Struthio camelus: one gene and its partner. The protein of the gene in region 1 purifies or fractionates together with the protein of each later gene. This does not show direct contact. Links are inferred from orthologs where the notes say so. Each region holds a gene or a part of one and is shown on either strand. Other genes may lie near its edges.

Region 1 (9,048 bases):
GCTTCCCTAGGCCAGAGAAGGCTCACATGCTCTTCAAGAGAGAACGTCTTCTGTAATTGTACGGAATGCATCACACGTGCAGTATCAGTAAAAGTTTTCAATGAAGTACAAATATATAGAATTATATTTTAGATGAGCATTCTTATGATATTCAAAAGGAAGCAGTCTGATCTGCACTCTAAAAATAGGAAATGTTTCAACTAGACGCGGCAAACATTGTGAAAACTGGAAGTTGTGTAAATGTATTACTTTATTAAACTCTCCTGTGCTCAAAGCCCAAGGTAAGTATGACAGTTTAAAAATCTGTTTGGGACTTGTCTACAAGGTAACTAAGATTTTTTATTATTACTATTTTCCAGCTAAACAATTTACATCAAAACCAATATGCCCAAGAAATTAACCTCAAAAAAAAAAACCTAAAACTGTAACCCATTGTACAATCATGTTGTATACTGAAGGACAAAGGTGTCACCAAAGTTCTCTTCTTTTATAATGACTGATAAAGTAATTGTTATATGTTCCCATATGTAAATTTTGACAGCCTTGTACATTCTAATTCTAATCCTTCCAGAGCTTTCTTTACTTGTTTTACCAGAGTTTTCTTCACACCAATGAAGCCATACTTTCAGCAATATAATTTGTTTTCTAATGTGTCTATTCTAACAAGTCTCAGACACATCGCTATAATTTACTTTCTAGCCTCACCCATCTTGGAAGATGAGCAGTGCTCATTTTGGTGTATACAATTTACATAGTAGCAAAGCAATTGTTCATTTTCTCACAGTTCTCCCACATAATAAAATATACTGACACATTTGCAATAGTTAAGGAAACAGTACTGAGCACAAATATGTTTAATTTAATGAAAGCACGATGTCCATTTTTTATGCATGGTATAATCTAATTTAAATTAGAAGCCAACCTTTTAAGGAGACCAGTTTACTCTGGACTCTTCTGGAAGACAAAGGACTATTTTCAAGTGCCAAACAAAACAAATTCCATGAGTTACTCATACTAACAATCAACAGATAGCCAAACTAGTGTGGCAGTTAAGATTTACAACTAAGAAGAAATCCTATTAATTTGCAGAATGCATGGCCTTAGCCATAAGCATACCACTTACAAGGCAATAACTCCCAGTATTAAGAAGAGCAATATACTGGTAAATAGGATGCAGTCTGCATTTTTCTAAGTTGTTTGCTATTTTGCGTTAAGGATAAATTGAGCCATACTGGATACTACAACTTTAGCATTATAGCATAGCGAAGATTACAATAAACATATTTACATGAAACTCAGCAAACTGGCAAGTGCAGTACAATAACTTGTATACTACACAAAGACTGGAATTAAGAAACTACAGTTTATATACTCCAAACGACCTAACGGACTTGTGGTTTTTTTTAATTGTTGCTATTATTTTCACTATTTTTTTTAGTTAATATGACACAAGAGGTTAATGGGTGGTCCAAAAGGCCTATTTGATACTTATCTAGAAAAAGCTTTCCCTACTCAAAACATAGTTACATGAACTGGGATCTTCATCTACTTATGAAATTTAAATAAGGACTACTCTTCCAAAACTGCAGGAGCAACAATTTCAGTAACACCGTGTTATTGAACACTATGGAATCCATTGGAAGCCAAATATCCAATGGACTTTAAAGGAAGTGACTTTTTATTTTCTTTGTATACACACACAGATACTCTTAATTCCATCAATTGTTTCAGTCATTAAACTGATCCTGAAGTGTCAGTGATCATCTACCTCTGGAAATACTTGTAGTACTTTGCAGGGAAAAAATATCACCATCTGTGATTTGAAACTCAAACTTCATTTCTCTCCTGGCTTAGAAGATGGTCCAACAGCTCATATGCTGTGATAACTGTATGGCTCTTTGCTATGCACAATAGTTATTGCTGGAAGCTTCTAACTTGAAGAAGAACCCTTAGAACCAGTTTTCATATCCTTGCTGACAGGATGTCAGCCCAGGCTACATTACAGACATGGAAGCAATTACAATGGAGAAAACCTTACACCCCACTAAACACTGTCCTCCGCATAACTTCTTAACATAGCAGTATTTGTGCCGTGCAGCTAGCAGCATCCCTCGGCACTTCCCTTGTTTATTAGGCCTTCAAGACGCAGCTTAAGCTCACCCGAACTCAAAAGATGCCGTGTATAAGCAGCAACCCTCAACGATTCCTGCTTTAAATTTTCAATGGCGATTTTTCGGTCGAATCAGAGAGAAACCTTGTCCACACCATCCAACACGACCCGGCCGCTGAACGTTTGCAGCGGCTTTAGCAGCAGCAGGAGAGAAGCAACAATAGAGCTCTTGCGACCACAGCGTGTCTGCGGGCCCGAAAGCGCCCACTCAAGACGCCGGGATCCCTGCGGCGGCCGCGGGCTGCCCTCCCTCTCCCCACCTCGGCGCTTTCGTTAACGCTGCGGCCGCCAGGCAGACGTCAAGCCGCGGTCAGGCCTCCCGCCCGGGCCCGCGGCGAGCACGTACCAGCTCCACTTCGCAAGACAGGCGCTGGACCCGGCTCCTCGCCGAGCCCTAGGCAGAGCAGCCGGGGAGCGGCAGACGCCCCCGCCAGGCCACGGCGCCGGCACAGGGCCCGGCCGGGAACACCGGCTAAGACGCGCCAGGGAGAGGGGACGGAGCCCCGGCCCGGCCCCTCCCCCCGTGCGCGGTCGTTAACTGCCGCTGGCGCCAGCCAGGGCTCTTCCCCGCTCTGCGCTTCGCGAGGTGCGCGCGCCAACGCGAGGCTCTCCTTCCCCCACCTTAATTTTATTGAGCACCCCGCTGCTCTCCAGCGTCTGCACCAGCAGGTCCCGCAGCTCTGTGTCCTCCTCCGCCGCTGCGGCCGCCATCTTGTTTCTCCCTGACAACCGCCCAAACTGCGCTAGCGGTAGGACGAGCCCGGCAGATTCGCCTCCGCGGCCGAGGGAGGCACTAACCCAGCAGCGGACCCGAGGAAACGGGGCGCAGCCGGCCGGTGGCCGTCCTCAGTAGCGGCCCGAAAGGGGACACAACGAGGCCGCGACCACCCAACACCCCCTCCCCCCCCCCAAACCGCGGCGCCTGGAAAGTGTAGCGGCGAATCAGCAGCGCGACTGCCGGCGCCGCGATTGGCGGGCGGGAGGTTTAAAGCGGGTGATGGGCGCTAACGGCCGAGCTACGCCTTTGTTCGTCTTCAACGTCACCGCGGCGGCAGAGCTGGTGGCCGCGCTACTTGCTGGGTCCCTGTAACCATTCCCTGGGCCCCTTTCCAGCTTGGTGCTTTCCCCTGGCCGGGCAGACCTTGGCAGCGTGCGCGGGACTCGCGCCGGGCCGCGCTCGCGCCCAACGGCCGCGCGGGCTGTAACGGCCGCGGGGAGGGGGTGTGGGGAAGCGAGGTCACCTAGGGCCGGTCTTCTCTCGCACTCGGCTCTTTCCAGCGCCGAAAGAAAGGGGTTGGGGGACGACGACGAAGAACCTGAAACCGCTTTAAGGAGCGAAGAACCCCTCTCCTGCCCCTTCTCAGGTGTTTCAGCAGAGAGGAAAACGCTGTTCCCGTCCTCTGGGAGGGGTGGGGGAAGGAGCAATTTTCTCTGGGCTGAGAGAGATCTCGGAAAGTAGACGTATCCCCTCCATTCAGCACAAGCAAAGCAGAGACCGAAAAGTATTTAAAATATGTCAACAGTGTTTATTTTATAACCTCTATGTTATGTTAAAAGCGCCAGGCAGCGTCTTAGGAACAAGAGGCTCCAACGCTATCATTTCTTAAAAATGATACAACGCTTTCTAGGATGCAGTGCTTAATTTGCAGCACTGTACGTTGCCCCCGGGAAAATCTTTTGCTTTTTTTTTTTTTCATACTGAACCTTATCTTCTGAACTTTCTACGATTTTTCTTGAAGAGCATTCAATTATATAGCGAGAAAATTCGTAATTCATGAATATTGTGGCGTCTCCTTCCCTGGAGATATTCAAAACGCACCTGGACGCGATCCTGTGCAACGTGCTCTAGAGGACCCTGCTTGAGCAGGGGGGGGTTGGACTAGATGATCTCCAGAGGTCCCTTCCAACCTTGGCCATTCTGTGGTTCTGCAATATTCAAAGCATGCAAGCGTTCCTCGTAGAGGAATATAGTAAGGGTATTGTTGGCGGTTGATGCTACTTTCAAAAGCATGCAGTAGGTGGCACTAATTCATCGGTGAGGTCTTAAATATGAGTCAAGCCTGGTAAGTCAGGTGTCACTGGTACTGTCCCGTTTTTATTACATCCTCTAGAGGCATGCTGGATGTTTGAGCCCATTTCTGTTGCTGCACAAAGAATATAGCATTACATTTTAAAATTCCCAATCTTGGAAACATTGGCAACCTTTCACTCTCTTTGTATGGTTTGAGAAATATCTAACTCACCAGTAAGAATATATCATTATTGATTTAGGAGTCAAAATAGACTATAAACTTCAATGTTAAGCTTGAAACAAGATGGTAAATAACTAGGTTTCAGTTTTCGTGATCAAGTTCAATTAAAACAAGGCTTATAGGTTAAAAGTTAAACTGTTATTTCCAATAATCATATAAGCCCTATAATGTTACTATGATCAAAAGAGCCACGCTGTCTCAGGGTATAAGGCTTTACTCGTATGTCTGCCAAAAGACATGATGACGGTGGTTTTGGTTCACCGAAACTTGACGCCTAGCTTGATAGAGGGAATATTAAGCAATTGAAGGGATCGGCACTACAATTAAGTGTCTAAGCTGGTAAATGAGTTTTAGGCTAGGGAGGGGAAGGGAAGAATAGGGATTGGAAAATAACCAGCAAAATAAGGGTGATGTTCTTCTACCAGCCATAAAAGCTTTGAAATGGACCAGCTTATAAAAGCACCTCTATAGGAGTAGATTGGGGTCCTGTTGTAGTAATCACAAATGGTCTATTTTTGTCAGTGATCCAGAGGGAATGTATTCTGTGCCGGTTCTACAGTTGATAGACACTACTTTCCCTTCCAAGCTGACAGGCACAGCAGGGACTGGGCCCAAAGGTCTGTTAATTTACTTGCATGCCTCCAGCAGTTTTGGAAAGTTGTTACTAGAACCCCACAGAGATTATTCTCCCTCCCACACTACTGTGTCATGGTTTCACTCCAAACCCTACCGCTCTGCAGCTTGTGTGAGCGACAGTCCGGGTCTAAATGATTATGAGGATAACGGTTTAAAGGTATATGAAACTGTGAATAGTAGGGAAGGACAGGAACCAATAGGAAAGTGTATAACTACATTGTAACTATGTTGTTGGTATCAAAATTAGCAAAATACTTACTTGGCTGGATAACATGGTTAGCAATCCTAACCATGTTAGCAATGCTAACCATGTATACACAGCTATGCATCTATATGCACTGGGGATTTCTGTGGGGTAAAATGAAATTAAACATATACTCTCATCAACTTAAAGAACAATGTACTCCTAATCTTTTAAAACTCTAAAGCTTTGAACTACAGCTACTTTGATGACAAGCCAGCTTTTTAGCTATATGTTTATCTGATAGTATTTATTCGTTTTATCAACTGTGGTTTAGATCAGGCACAAAAGGAATGTTTTCTCAATTTGTTCTTCAGCAACAAATACTGTCTCCAATGTTTCTTTACTGACCCCTTTTTTCTGATACAAGCATTTGGGCTTTCTCCATATCGCACATCAATCTGCTTCCCCACACGTCTCACTGCTTGGCCTTTATTTCTGATATCTAGCTAGCAAAATCACTCTGCTGTACCTTAACCGAATCCACTCTCATGTTACCACAGCGAGGGTGGTATGAGTGGGGACTCCTTTGGTACCACCATGCTTCTGGAGATGGGGCCACAACAGCACCTGTTTCAGTTCCAGCAAGTCAAAAGTAAAACCTGATGCTCTGGAGGGCTATCTTCCCTGCCAGGTAGGAATGGATGTGTGAGGGTAGTGTTTCGTATCACATCTCCAACACTCCCCAATTTCTTCAGACTCAGTCACTCAGACCATCCACTGCCTTTTCCTCCACCACTGATTTGGCAATTTCTTGATGAAAATTCTTCCCCTTCCCTGCCCTCAAACTCACAGGGGAAAGCTGAAGAGCAGGGAAGAAGGCTTGCTTACAGTCCCCGACTTTCCCTTCCTTTTTTCCTTTTAAAAACACTTTTTAATAAATCAAATATTTTTTCCTAGGTTTTACCTTCCTTTTTTCTTCTTCAGCCTTTTCTCTTCAGTGGAAATGGAGACATTTCTTTCCCTGTCTCCTCCTATTCTGTTTGCCCCAATGATTCTTCCTCTTCTGATTTCCCTCATGTGCTCTCAGGTTTTCTTGTTTCCTCTTAAACTCTAATTGTCTCCTCCTCTTTGCCTTAGAACCAAAACTGACTGTCTTTCCTATCTCAAAAAGATGCGTTCATACCTTCAACTGCTACCTTATCCCCTTTTTCCCTTCATTCTTTAGTTCACTGAGCATACCATTTACAACTGTTCTCTGGATTTCCAGCTCCAATTTTATCCAGAATCCTCTTTACAGATTTGTATACTTTCCTCTTAGAAACACACACTGGGACTTATAATAATTTAATGACATGTATTTAAAGGCAGGGTCATAAATTATAAGATTAAATAAAGGTTTACAACATTCTTCTAATACTCATTAAATAGTTTTTGTGAGATGTGAGGAACATACATAAAACGGCAGCATTTATGGTGTAAATGTTATTGGAAATCACTTGTGATACCATCACATATAGATACTGCATGCCCAACAAATGTCATGGAACTAAAGTACTTGTATTGCCCCAATATATTATATGTAAAGAGAAAATGTGTGTTTCACAGGTATAATTGCTCATTGGTGTTTTCCATAAAGGGCTTGTCCCAGTAACTCGTATAGCAAAATAAAGGAAGACATATTATTATCACACAGATGCAGAAATAAAGAGCTATTTTCCAATTAAATGCAATTATACGATTTATTTAGTAATGAACATTGCTAGATAGTATGTCAAAAAATGGAGGTTTATAGGCAAATCACTGTTAGTGATTACTATTGATAGTGATTAATAGTGATTACTATTCTAGATTATCAATTTCAAAAACAATACTTTAAATTTAGACTTTTATATTTTATGGCAAATTATTTCCACAAATATACCTTGTCCCAAATTACAAGAAACTGTTTGTTTAAGCTGGCAAACCGTAGTGTGGAATCTGGCTTCAGGTCTATGCTGTGTACTATACGTTTGTCAGATATAAATCTTTCTCTCCAAGTAAATGTTTCAGAAAACACCAGCTTTCAGAATATGAATATGACATAGGTATTGACATTATGTTTGACTGTCCTTACAAAATCCACTTGACAAAATATTTGATAGGGATTGCAAAGCAAAAAGACAGATTCAGTAGACTTAGAAGATGATTCATCAGCGAAAAGAATTGTGGTTTGTAAAATTCATTGCAATAACACTGGCTTCCTGCTCTCCAGTGTATCTAGACTATTTCAAATCCAATCTCCATATACCCCTTTTGAGCACTGCCAAATACCAGAAAATTATTTAGCTAAATATTCATCACCTAGAGGGCAGCGAAGCATGCTAATAGTCCAATTTCCTACCCAGCCGACAATGAACAGTCTCAAACTGCCTCGTGTCCCATTCTAAAGAAAACGTTATCATTTAAAATATATCTAATTCCCAAGTCTACCTTTACTGACATCATCTAACTGCATCACAAGAGACAGACCAACATTATTTTTATTGTTTCTGCAGAACTGTAAATGTGAAGAACATTCTACCAGAGTAAGAAGAAGATGTATTTTTCATGGGAAAACCAATATAGCTTTGCAAAGATGCTATAAAATTGACACTGCATCATTCAAAAAAAAATGCAATGGCAGCGTTGCTACAAGCTCTTTACACAATATAAATCCAATCCAGGCCTTCAAAAAACATGCATTGACCAATTCTATTGACTGAAAGTTAGGACACAGTAATATATGTACATCCTAGAATCTGATCAGAGTTTTGCAGATGATTGTCATTAACACACAAAAACTGAATAAAATCTAGCTAGATTTGTGAGTTCTATTTGTGCAATGGGAATAATCAAAACAAAAATCATTGTGTTAGGGGAACAAAATAAGAAAGATTCTGGACTCTTAAATCCTAATCTAAATGTACACTGCTGGTTTCTAGAAAAACAGAGTTTTAAAATCTCAGATTGAAGTGCTTGATAATAAAATCCTTAAAGAAATTGAACCATGCCAACTTCATTTTTGTTTTATTTTCTTCAGGCAACACATTTCAGCAGATAAACAGAGTTTTAAAATCTCAGATACAGTTACGTTTGTTCAGAAATTTTTGAGGAAAATGATATTTTCAGGAAAAATGGAAATGAAACTTTTCCACTGTTTTGGCATTCTCTCCCTCAATTTTCCACCAAATATAATCATGTCATCATGAGTGTTAATAAACAGTGAACAGGAGAGAAAAGTCAATACAGACATAACAGACCATGCTATTTACAATGAGAAATTACCCAAATGAGGTCAGTTATTTTTCATTACAATGATTCTCAAATTTTGGAGTCCAACTTGTTCTTAGGAATATTATATAGAGTACTAAAAATGCAGTTTAAATCAGTTGGTGATTAAGGCTCTAGTTCAGGAGAGCACTTCGCTACTTCTTAATTTTATCCCAATTCAGAAGAGCAGTTGAAGATATTCTAAGCTTGTTAGTGTGTGCTTGTGTCCTAGGATTAGTGCGTATAACTGTGGAGCAAGGGCCCCATAGTGTGGGATACAAATATTTGTCAGATACTGAGCTGGAAATTGGACTGCCAGTCTATTAATCGGGTGAGCAGTTAAGGTAGATCTTATATCACAGTGAGGATATAGACTTTAGGAACAGTCAAAAGTCCCAATAGCTTTCATAGCTTCTATGTAAATATTTATGATTATCATTCAGTCTACTTAATTTCTTACTTGTGCTGTAAATTCTTTCTGCCTTAATGATAATGAATAGTCTCTTATGAAGTCGGTG
Region 2 (9,072 bases), on another chromosome or scaffold:
TTGCTATAGCAGAGGAAAAAGAACTGCATTTATTTGGCCTATATCCATCTCAAAACTTCTAAACCAAAGAATATTCACCCTTAGGCTCTCAGCATATATTTTTTCTCCCTAGTTCCTAAGTATGTTACACTTCCATCTTGGCCAGCTTTCTCTTTTCGTTTTCCTCCAAGTCATCCAAAGCATATCTCATTACCCCTGTTTCCATTTCCAGCTCCAATTTCGTATTTCAAGAGTTTTTTTGTGCAATTAGCTATTATCAGAACCACTTTTTAATTTATACCAACTTTCTTATCTCTTTGGATCTTGCAGTGTACCCTACTGTGAAAATTTACAAACCATGACTCATTTTTAAACTTAATTTGCCTTTGGACTGCCCTGTGTTAGACACTGAGATTTTGCAGTGTGTTTTACCTGTTCTGTGTGTGTTAAAGTGCCACATCCTGTTATGGTATAATGGAAATAAGAAATAATACTGTGCACCTGTGCAACTTCCAAGAAAAACATGATAAAACCATCTAATGATGACACAATGAAATAATTATTTCCTCCTTGCTTTAAGCAAAGGTTTGCTGGCTGTACCGCTGCATCTTTGCTTCAGAAACATTGCCACCTAGCAACAAAGTATCTTCTCAGGCTTCTGGATAAAATCTATAAAGAACTGCCCTAGCAGCAGCTCTTAGATCATTTTCAAATAATTTTGGAAATTTTGTTTTTGTCCTTTCGCCACTTAGCATTCAATGCCAGCTGGCTTTCTGCAGAACAGGGGAAAAACTGCTAACTATTTAGTTTTGGAAGCAGACTTAAAAAGGCAAAATACAGAAGTTTAAAAAAAAAAAAAAGGCAAACTGCCAAATTGTTCCTTCAAGGCATAGTATGCAGTGAGGGATAATGCTGAAGAACATCAGCCAAGTAGGATACCTTCCAGAGATATTGTCCTCATGAAGCCAAGAGAAAAGAGTTGCTGCCCACCCATGGACAAAGTAAAATGCAGAGACCCATTTTTTTTTCTCCATGCTGTCTCTAAAAAAGCTAATGCTGGATATGGTGTGAGACTGACAAATGCCTGTAGGGTTAAATCAAATAAAAAAATTGGAATTAGTATACATTTTTTTAAAGAAACGTTTGAGCATGTGGCCTAGAAAGATATTGGAAAGCAACAGAGAGAGCAAGAATTAGTTCAACAAATTCAGCAAGTGGATGACTGGTGAAGAAGCCATCATTTGCCAAAGTGACAGAGAGAATTAGGTCTCTTTGGGAACTGTTTTCTTAGAGCAGAGACATCTGGTAGCTCACCGAATCATTTCTTATTTTTGAAGACAAAAAAAAAAAAAAAAGAACATCAGTGGGAACTGTATCTAACTGGAAAAGCAAGTAATGGTGATAATCACAATTATAAAATATAGGACATCTTACACAGAAATAAGAAATCTAGCCAAAGAGAAAATGCAAAGCACTGCAGTAAAAATTCCAAGCCTTAATGCTCTAATGAAACAAAATTAACTAAATAGCTTTCGCAACGAGGTCAGAATGTTGTCGGAAGTGCTACGCTGGCAATTACAGAGCACGAATAAAGGAAATACAGCAAAATGGCCTAATCCATGCACTAATTACCCTAAAATACATGTTTTTACAAGCCTATATTACAGGCTTTAAAATGTTTAAATATTACTTAACCGTATGAATAGTTATAAGAATAAAAAAAAAGAGTCCTTATGGCTCGGTGAATTGGGCTCCTACATACCCAAACAAGGAGATGCAAGAAATACAGGAAAACTTTTAAAAAATCCATTGTATTAGAGATTACTATTACTTCTGGACAGTAAATGAAAACCATCAGTTTCTTGTCAATCACAGACAGAGTATGCAAAAATTCATCTAGTATCTTGAATCAGCATTTTTCAGGCTCAAATGTGGCAAACTTTAATGCTCTAATACATTTGTTTACTTTCTCTCTTCTATTTGTTCTTTCTACATTTACTGCATGAGATAAGCATAACTATGCAGAACTCTCTGATCGCAAAAGACTCTGGAATATTTTTGAATGACAGGAAGATAATATGGTTAGTTTTATTGTTTGCAAGCCGAGAGATATTGCAGAACACCCAGCCCACATATTACTGTGGTTCAGATTGAAGTGGTCAAGGCTTGCCCAGGACTTCTTTTTCTGGGCATCTAGAAGTGTTCTTGAATGACAATATTTTTATTAAATATTTTACTAAATTATCAGCGGCCCAAGCCATTATGCTCTTCCCAGAGCATACAGTAGGCCATAAGATTACTTCAGCTTGTAAGGCTGTGAAAAACCCATAGATGAAAGATTGGGATCCAGAATGAGACGTCAGCTGTAGATTCATCATTACACACATTGCTACTGTCTAGTGGTTAAAACCTGCATTTAGAATTCACATTAGATTCACATACACAGGAGTACTTTTGATAATTTTTCAGCCTCCAGCCCTTCTGGCAGATCTGTGCCATGTGTACCAAAAATGGAATTTTCAAAAAAGATGTAAAAAAACTTAAAATTTAGATGCACAAGTAGAATGCAAAGCAAAAATGAATGAATCAAATGCTGAGAAAAAAGTAACTTTCACTCAGCACTAATTTGAAAGAAAAAGAGTTTGGTAGGGAGAAACTTGGAACAGGTTCTTTGCAATATTATGAATTTTAGCTTGCAGATGTCTCTATTTACTGACAAGATGAATCCCCTTTTGGTTATAGCTTTACAATGATATATGCAGCCTGCAGTTTTAGAGATCTAGTGTGATTGTTCTAAGGCTACATCCAATGAAGAACGCGGAGAATAATTTTGACATGCTGCAAAATAAGAAGAGCTATATTAACAGTCTAATCATTCTTGAGCTTGCTTTCATTTCAGGCTTTTTCTTGGTGCACAACACATGACTAATCAATAGCATACAGAAAGGAGCTCTTTTTGCTCCATTTACATGGCAATGGTAGTGTGGCTGTGATTCAAAATTCATCTTGAAATGCTAGTCTTTACAGTTGACAGGAAATTGACAACAAAACGCATGGCTGGAGAGTCTCCAGAATATAATGTCTGTCTCTCTAGGAATCTTCAGAGATGCTTTCTATTTTTAACAGCTTAAAATGCATAGAATTCTGAGTTATTATTTCTGAAATATCAGAGCAAGTATTTAATTTCCCGAATATAATGGGGAAATGCCTAAAAATTTCACTCATAAGTGATTTTAAAAGATGTGGCTATCAGTTCACACCTTTGATTTGTAGATGTAAGAATTTAACTGCCACCCTATACAAGCGCAAAATTCTGACTAAGTGAAAAGACTGTCAAGAGAAACGAGATGAATGAAGGAATTTAAAGAAATACAAAAGTGATTAAGGGCATATTAATCAAAGAGAAAAATTAAAATGCTATGTGGACTAGCAGTGAAGATGTATCACAGCTCTGCTTGTTAAAAAGTGATTTAACTGAATAGTGCAAACATCAAATCTTGTAAGTAAGTAAAGTTGCTTGAGAGGATTTACGTTTGATTTTGCTTGAATTTAGCCCATGGCATCCAGTGGTATGACATGCAGTGGAGATACTTTTGTCACACAGTCTCTAGTCAAGAAATCAACAACTGCTGTTGACACTTGGTTGATTATTGCCCTGTGCATTGTGTATCTTTTCTGTTTGGTTTGCAAAACGTCACAGTGAAACAATTTGCTGTATAGCTGGTGGCCTCAGACCTACTGAAATAATTCTTGTTCTGGCACACCTGATCATAGCACTTAGGCTGCTTCAGTTACTTCTGGTGGCAGTCGAAGATTATGAAGCATGTGTGATTCTGCTGTTATTAAGCTATGTTAATATGAAGATTATTTGACACACAGTGAACATACAGTATTCTACCCAAGTTCGAGGGTCCTTAACCTGTTTAATTACTGTGTACTCAGCTTTAGAGTTTAACTCTCCTGTTTATAAGCAGACTAAAAGCATAACTTGTTAAATAAGCCAATTGCTCTTACTCATCAATTTATAGTAATCATTTTCATGAGTAGTTGGCATTCCTATGCATGAATGAATTGCAAACTCTAGGATCAATGCACAGGCTATGTCTGCGTCACTTTGCCTTAAAGGGCGCACCTGATAACACACCGCTGAATGTTAATGAGAACCCTGAAACCTGAAGTCAGATCTATCTGAGCTAGCAAACGAATGAGGAAGGTAAGCTGCGGAGGAGGAGGAGGAGGAGGAGGAGGAGGAAGAGGAGGAGGAGGAGGAGGAATCTGTGTGCTCTCAGCCAGCTGGGACCAGCTGACTGCAGCTACTGCTGTGAATCAAAGTGCGGCAGCACTTACGGAGCTAGTCATCTGTGCAGCGTGGTCTTTAGATGCTGAAGTGATGCACAGCGCGCTTAAAGATGTATTAAAAGACAGCATTATGTAAATGTGCTTTCTCATTGCCCTGCAATAAGCCTCTTTAGGAAAGAGAAACAGTAGTTTCTGTTTGGCTGCGAAATTTCTCTCTAAAACCTCTGCCAGATGCCCCTTGTCCAGCTTCCTGCGGTGGTCTAAAAACACGTTATGTCCACGCGGAGAGGGGAGGAAAGAAATATGACTAAAAGAGCTAAACCTGTCCTGTACGCTCGTCAGGTGCCAGCGTGCCCGGGGTGCAAGGCAGAAGGCCACCCCAAGGGCTGGGGGCTGCAAGGCCTGGGGACGAGCCGGTCCCGGGGGGGCCAGCTCGTCGCTGTGGCTGAAGCGGAGCAGGCCAGGAGAGCCGCGGCAGCGGCCCCGAGGCGAGGCGAGGCGAGGCGGCAGCAGCCCGCCGACCCGCCTCCACCCCCGCAGCTAAGGGAGCGGGCCGGGCCGGGCGCAGGGGAGGCCGCGCCCCCGCGCGCCGTAACGGTTGCAGCGCAGGGGGGAGGGAAGCGCTTCGGCGGGGCGGGGCGAGGCGGCCGTTGGGCGCGGCCATTTTGAACGTACGAAGGCGGGCGGCTGGCCGGGGGAGATGGCCCGCTTGCTCTGGGGTGGCAGCCAATAGCAGCGCCAGCCCCCAGCGCCACGTGGGCGGCGACGGTTGGGATCCCAGGGAAACCGCCTCACGCGGAGCAGCGCTTCAGCGCCCGGCGGCGGAGGAGGAGAAGGTGGTGGTGGTGGTGGAGGCTCCCTCGAGGCTCGCCGGCGGGCTCGGGCGGAGGCGCGCTTCAGGGGCTGGCGGGCTGCGGTTGGGGCGCGGTGGCCAGCGGAGGAGCCAGGGAGAAGGGTGACTCCTGAGCGATCGGGGCTGTGCTGGACGCGGCCGCGATGGGGGGCTGGCGGCCCGGCGAGGCGGGAGCGCGCGCAGGGGGTGTACTGGGGAGGAGGGGAAGGGACAATCTCCCCCCCCACCCCGTCTCTTCTCTTGCAGCTCCGTGCTTGGCAGCGAGCAACGCGGTCCCCAGCGCATGCTGGTTTGATAGTGTGCTTTGTTAGGGAAGCAGAGCACTGAAGTAGTTGGCTGGGTTGGCTCTGAGTGGGTGCGGCGATATAAAATACTATATTTTTCCAAGTATAAAGAGAGTTGTTTATTTGCATGTGTTTAGTGGATACTGCTTATGCTTGTATGTAGTGCTTGTACAGGTCAAATAAAAAGTATGTTTCACCCCTGCAGGTCAGGAGGTGTTTGAGGAAGTGTGTAAGCAGAGGGGAAACGTGTAATAGTGCTTCACGGAATATGTCCCTGTCTTGCAGCTCAGGCTTTAGGGTAGAGTCGTTGTCTCTGTGGTCAGTAGTCTTGTATGGATTTTTTTTCCTAACCTATTGCCTACCTGTTTTTTTGGGGGGAGGGGAGGGGGAATCCCTATGAACTCCTAGCTTTCTGAAAACTAGCATGCAGTTGAGTTTCCCAGTTTTGCCATGTGCTCTGTTTCTCCTCAGTCTGCTACCTGCTAGTTTCATCTGATGCTCCTTTGCCTCTGTATTGAAAGAGATAGCAGATAAAGTTCTTCCCTGAATGTTCTCTAAGCCAGTCGCGATTTTGTACGATTTTGTCATTCCCACTAACTTCCATGCTGAAGAGCCTTAATTTATGTAGTTATTTCTGAGATGGAAGTTATTATGTGTCTCTGAGTTTGTCCCCTCTTCTTTTCTACCCTCAAGTGTGCTAAACTTGAATGCTAGGGCCAGGCATAAAGTATGCAAAAGCAATAAGGGAAACACTTGTTTTATTTTATATTACGAGAATTCAGACTTTTGATTGCAGCAGTGGAAAAGCTGACAAGTAGTTCTGAAGATGTAAATGGTGTTTCGAAGAGACCTTAATATTCCTTGGTGCTGGGTCAGGGAGTGGGCTTTTAAGTAGCCTGCAGACACTATACGTTAAAAAATTAAATTTTAAGAGGAAAGTCTTTACACTAGTTAGTCCTGGAACATTGGACATGTTCCCCCATACTCTTGGAGGTGTACTTTTGTTGAGGAGAACAAAAATGTAGCGTTTCTTTTTCTTACCCATTCAGCTGTACTTCCACGTTCAACCTCAGCATTACTTGCCGTGTTGGAGACACTGAGTTGCACGGCTATACTCGTGCATTCTCATGTTTTGAGTATGCGTGTTGAATTGAGATTATGTCACTAAATCAGTTGCATATGGGAAAAATTTGATATATTTTTTCCTCCCTCATTTTAGAGAGGCTTTTATCACCTGTGAGAAATGATTGACTCGGTCAAAGTAAGAAGACAGTGCCTGCTGGATTTCTACTCTCATTATGAGCATCTGTGTGCTGTTCAAGGCTCTGTCCCACTGAAAGCTGTGAAAGCCAATCTGAACCAGGGTGCTCTCGATCTAACTGTAGATCGCATCAAAGCTGCTGACTGGGCACCGCTTCTAAATGCTGTCAGGCATAATAAGACGCTGACTTCTATTGCAGTAAGAAGTTTTCATCAGCAGGGTCTCGGAGAATCAGGTTTGTATTGATGGCTCTAGATGATAATTATGTTGATGTACGTTAAAGCTCTTTGTATAAATCTTGTGAGTGATTGAATGCATGAAGGGGGAGAGTTGTAATAGCTAAGGAATTCTTTCTGTTTAAGAACAGCGGCAAAAAAGAGGTATGTTTTTGATAGCTGTCAAGTCAATATGGACTGGATGTTACTGCTCTTCATTTCTGTTGTTTACTAGGTGTTGAAAGGTATAGAACTTACTTCAGAAGGAGAATTCCTGCAATTCGATCAAAAGACTTGACTGGTCAACTATGCAAAGCTGTCAAAGGCTGTCTGAGTATATCAGATGTACTAAAAAACTTGGAACTGCAGGGGTTGCTTCTGAGAGAGAGAGATCTAATACTTTTAACAAAGGTGAGAATGCGCTGGTATACAATTATTAAACGAAACCTAGGATTAGAACCTAGGGAAGTAGGAAATCATTTTATGTGTAGTTGTCACAGCTGGGGATGTGCCTGTTTTGAAATACATCTTTGTGTTCTTCTGTGTGAGAACCATTCTGCTGAGACACTTGGTATAACCTAGTGTTTAACCAAAATCATGTAACTTTCTCTTGCCCTAATTTGTCAAGGAGCAGAACCCTTATGGGAGGGTTCTTTCAGCATCCCTACTGCATGTCTGAGGTGTAGAACTTATGCCTGTGACTGACCCTGCTGTGCACGGTCATGACAGAAGAAAAGCTGCCGAGCTCCAGTAAGACAGCGTGCTTTGGAGAGCTGCTTCCGTTGGAGCTACTGCAGTGTGCTCATTAGTGGCTTCTAGGAAGCGAGGTGGCTGCTTGTTTCTTGCAGGCTCAGGCCCCTCCTGTGCTAAACAAAGCAGCTTCCTCACAGCTTTAGGCCCTTCTGCATCTGTCCAGGAGCATTAAGTGTTTGTGCTGAGCAATTTGGATGTCTTGATCTTTTCTCTATTTGTACGTTGTTGTTGCTTTTCAAGCCATTTTAAAAACATAAATATATATATATTTTTTATTATTTTACAGGGGTTGGCCAAAACTTCATCTCTGGAGAGCGTCTCCCTAGCCCACTGTCCAATTGGAGATGGAGGGTTAGAAAGTAAGTTAGTTTCAAAATAAAAGAAAAATAACTGGTCTTGTGAGGTGACTGGTAAAGGCATAAACATACTTCTGCCCTCCTTTTTAAAGCTTTCAATAGGTAAAACTAAGCTTTTCAGTATTTACATTCTCGTTTTAAATTTATTCACGCTGATTAAAAATAACCATCTTTATTTTATTTTACATGGCTTTACAGTATTTAAAAACTTGAATGTTTACCTGATGCTAGAAAACAGACTTACTAGTTAACGTTGATTAGACTTTTATTTAAAACAAAGTAATCTTTTTAAGTTTGAAATGAGTTTTTTCTTGATTTGCTCATGTTTACACAAGTAAAATAAAACAAAACATGTTCTACCTTGTTCAAACAGTCTTTGCTAAATACTTACTCCAGAAATATTTAATCTTTTGAAATTACAGAGGTTAAATGTATTAAGTTTATTTTAAATGTATAAGTTTATTTTGTTTTTCAACACTAGTTCTGTGTCAAAGGGTTTACCTATTAAAGCTAACTCAGCTTCTTAATGCAGCGGTGAGAAAATGTGTTTGTTCTGATGGTCTGGCTGTTTTGTGCCTGTACATAACAAATACTTTTGTTGTCTTTAGTAATCTGTCAGAGTGTGAAGAATTCTGCTAGTATCAGATGCATAAATTTCACAGGATGTAGCCTTACCTGGCGAGGGGCAGAACATATGGCAAATGTTTTAAAGGTAATTTAACCAGAAATGTTAACAAGAAGTTAAATAACTAAAAACATGATTGCTAGGTTTGGCTTGTAAACAAATACAGCTTTTCTGTAATAACAAAAGCAATACTTTACCCTATACTGTTTTTGATGTGACATCTCTTAAGGGAAAGGACAGGCTCTGACATAGCTACAGTAACCGTCTCCTTGCCGCTTCTCCGCTTCCCCTGAATTTCTGAAATGCCTCAATGTTCCTGGATTCCAGAAAATTATATTTTCATTGTGAGAATCCTCTTTAACATGAATGTTAAATGCTGAGCTGATTTTAATATAATATTTTTCATAAGGCTCAAAGTGAACATTCAGTTAAGACTATTAAGACTAT

What was found.
Region 2: the proteins of CEP43 (region 1) and centrosomal protein of 78 kDa purify together in Homo sapiens (affinity purification with mass spectrometry; 3 studies listed by BioGRID and IntAct, with this or other methods). This does not show direct contact. The link is inferred for Struthio camelus from reciprocal best matches to the Homo sapiens genes CEP43 and CEP78.

The regions. Positions count from the first base shown.
Region 1 is NC_090944.1:88,809,445-88,818,492, reverse strand, and holds the start of CEP43 (centrosomal protein 43), read right to left. Parts: upstream 3,537-9,048; 5' UTR 2,882-3,536; coding exon 2,792-2,881; intron 1-2,791. UniProt on the Homo sapiens protein: Required for anchoring microtubules to the centrosomes. Required for ciliation.
Region 2 is NC_090982.1:29,120,922-29,129,993, forward strand, and holds the start of centrosomal protein of 78 kDa, read left to right. Parts: upstream 1-4,955; 5' UTR 4,956-5,126; intron 5,127-5,532; exon of another isoform or gene 5,533-5,733; intron 5,734-6,634; 5' UTR 6,635-6,658; coding exon 6,659-6,911; intron 6,912-7,126; coding exon 7,127-7,302; intron 7,303-7,930; coding exon 7,931-8,003; intron 8,004-8,608; coding exon 8,609-8,712; intron 8,713-9,072. UniProt on the Homo sapiens protein: Centriole wall protein that localizes to mature centrioles and regulates centriole and cilia biogenesis. Involved in centrosome duplication: required for efficient PLK4 centrosomal localization and PLK4-induced overduplication of centrioles.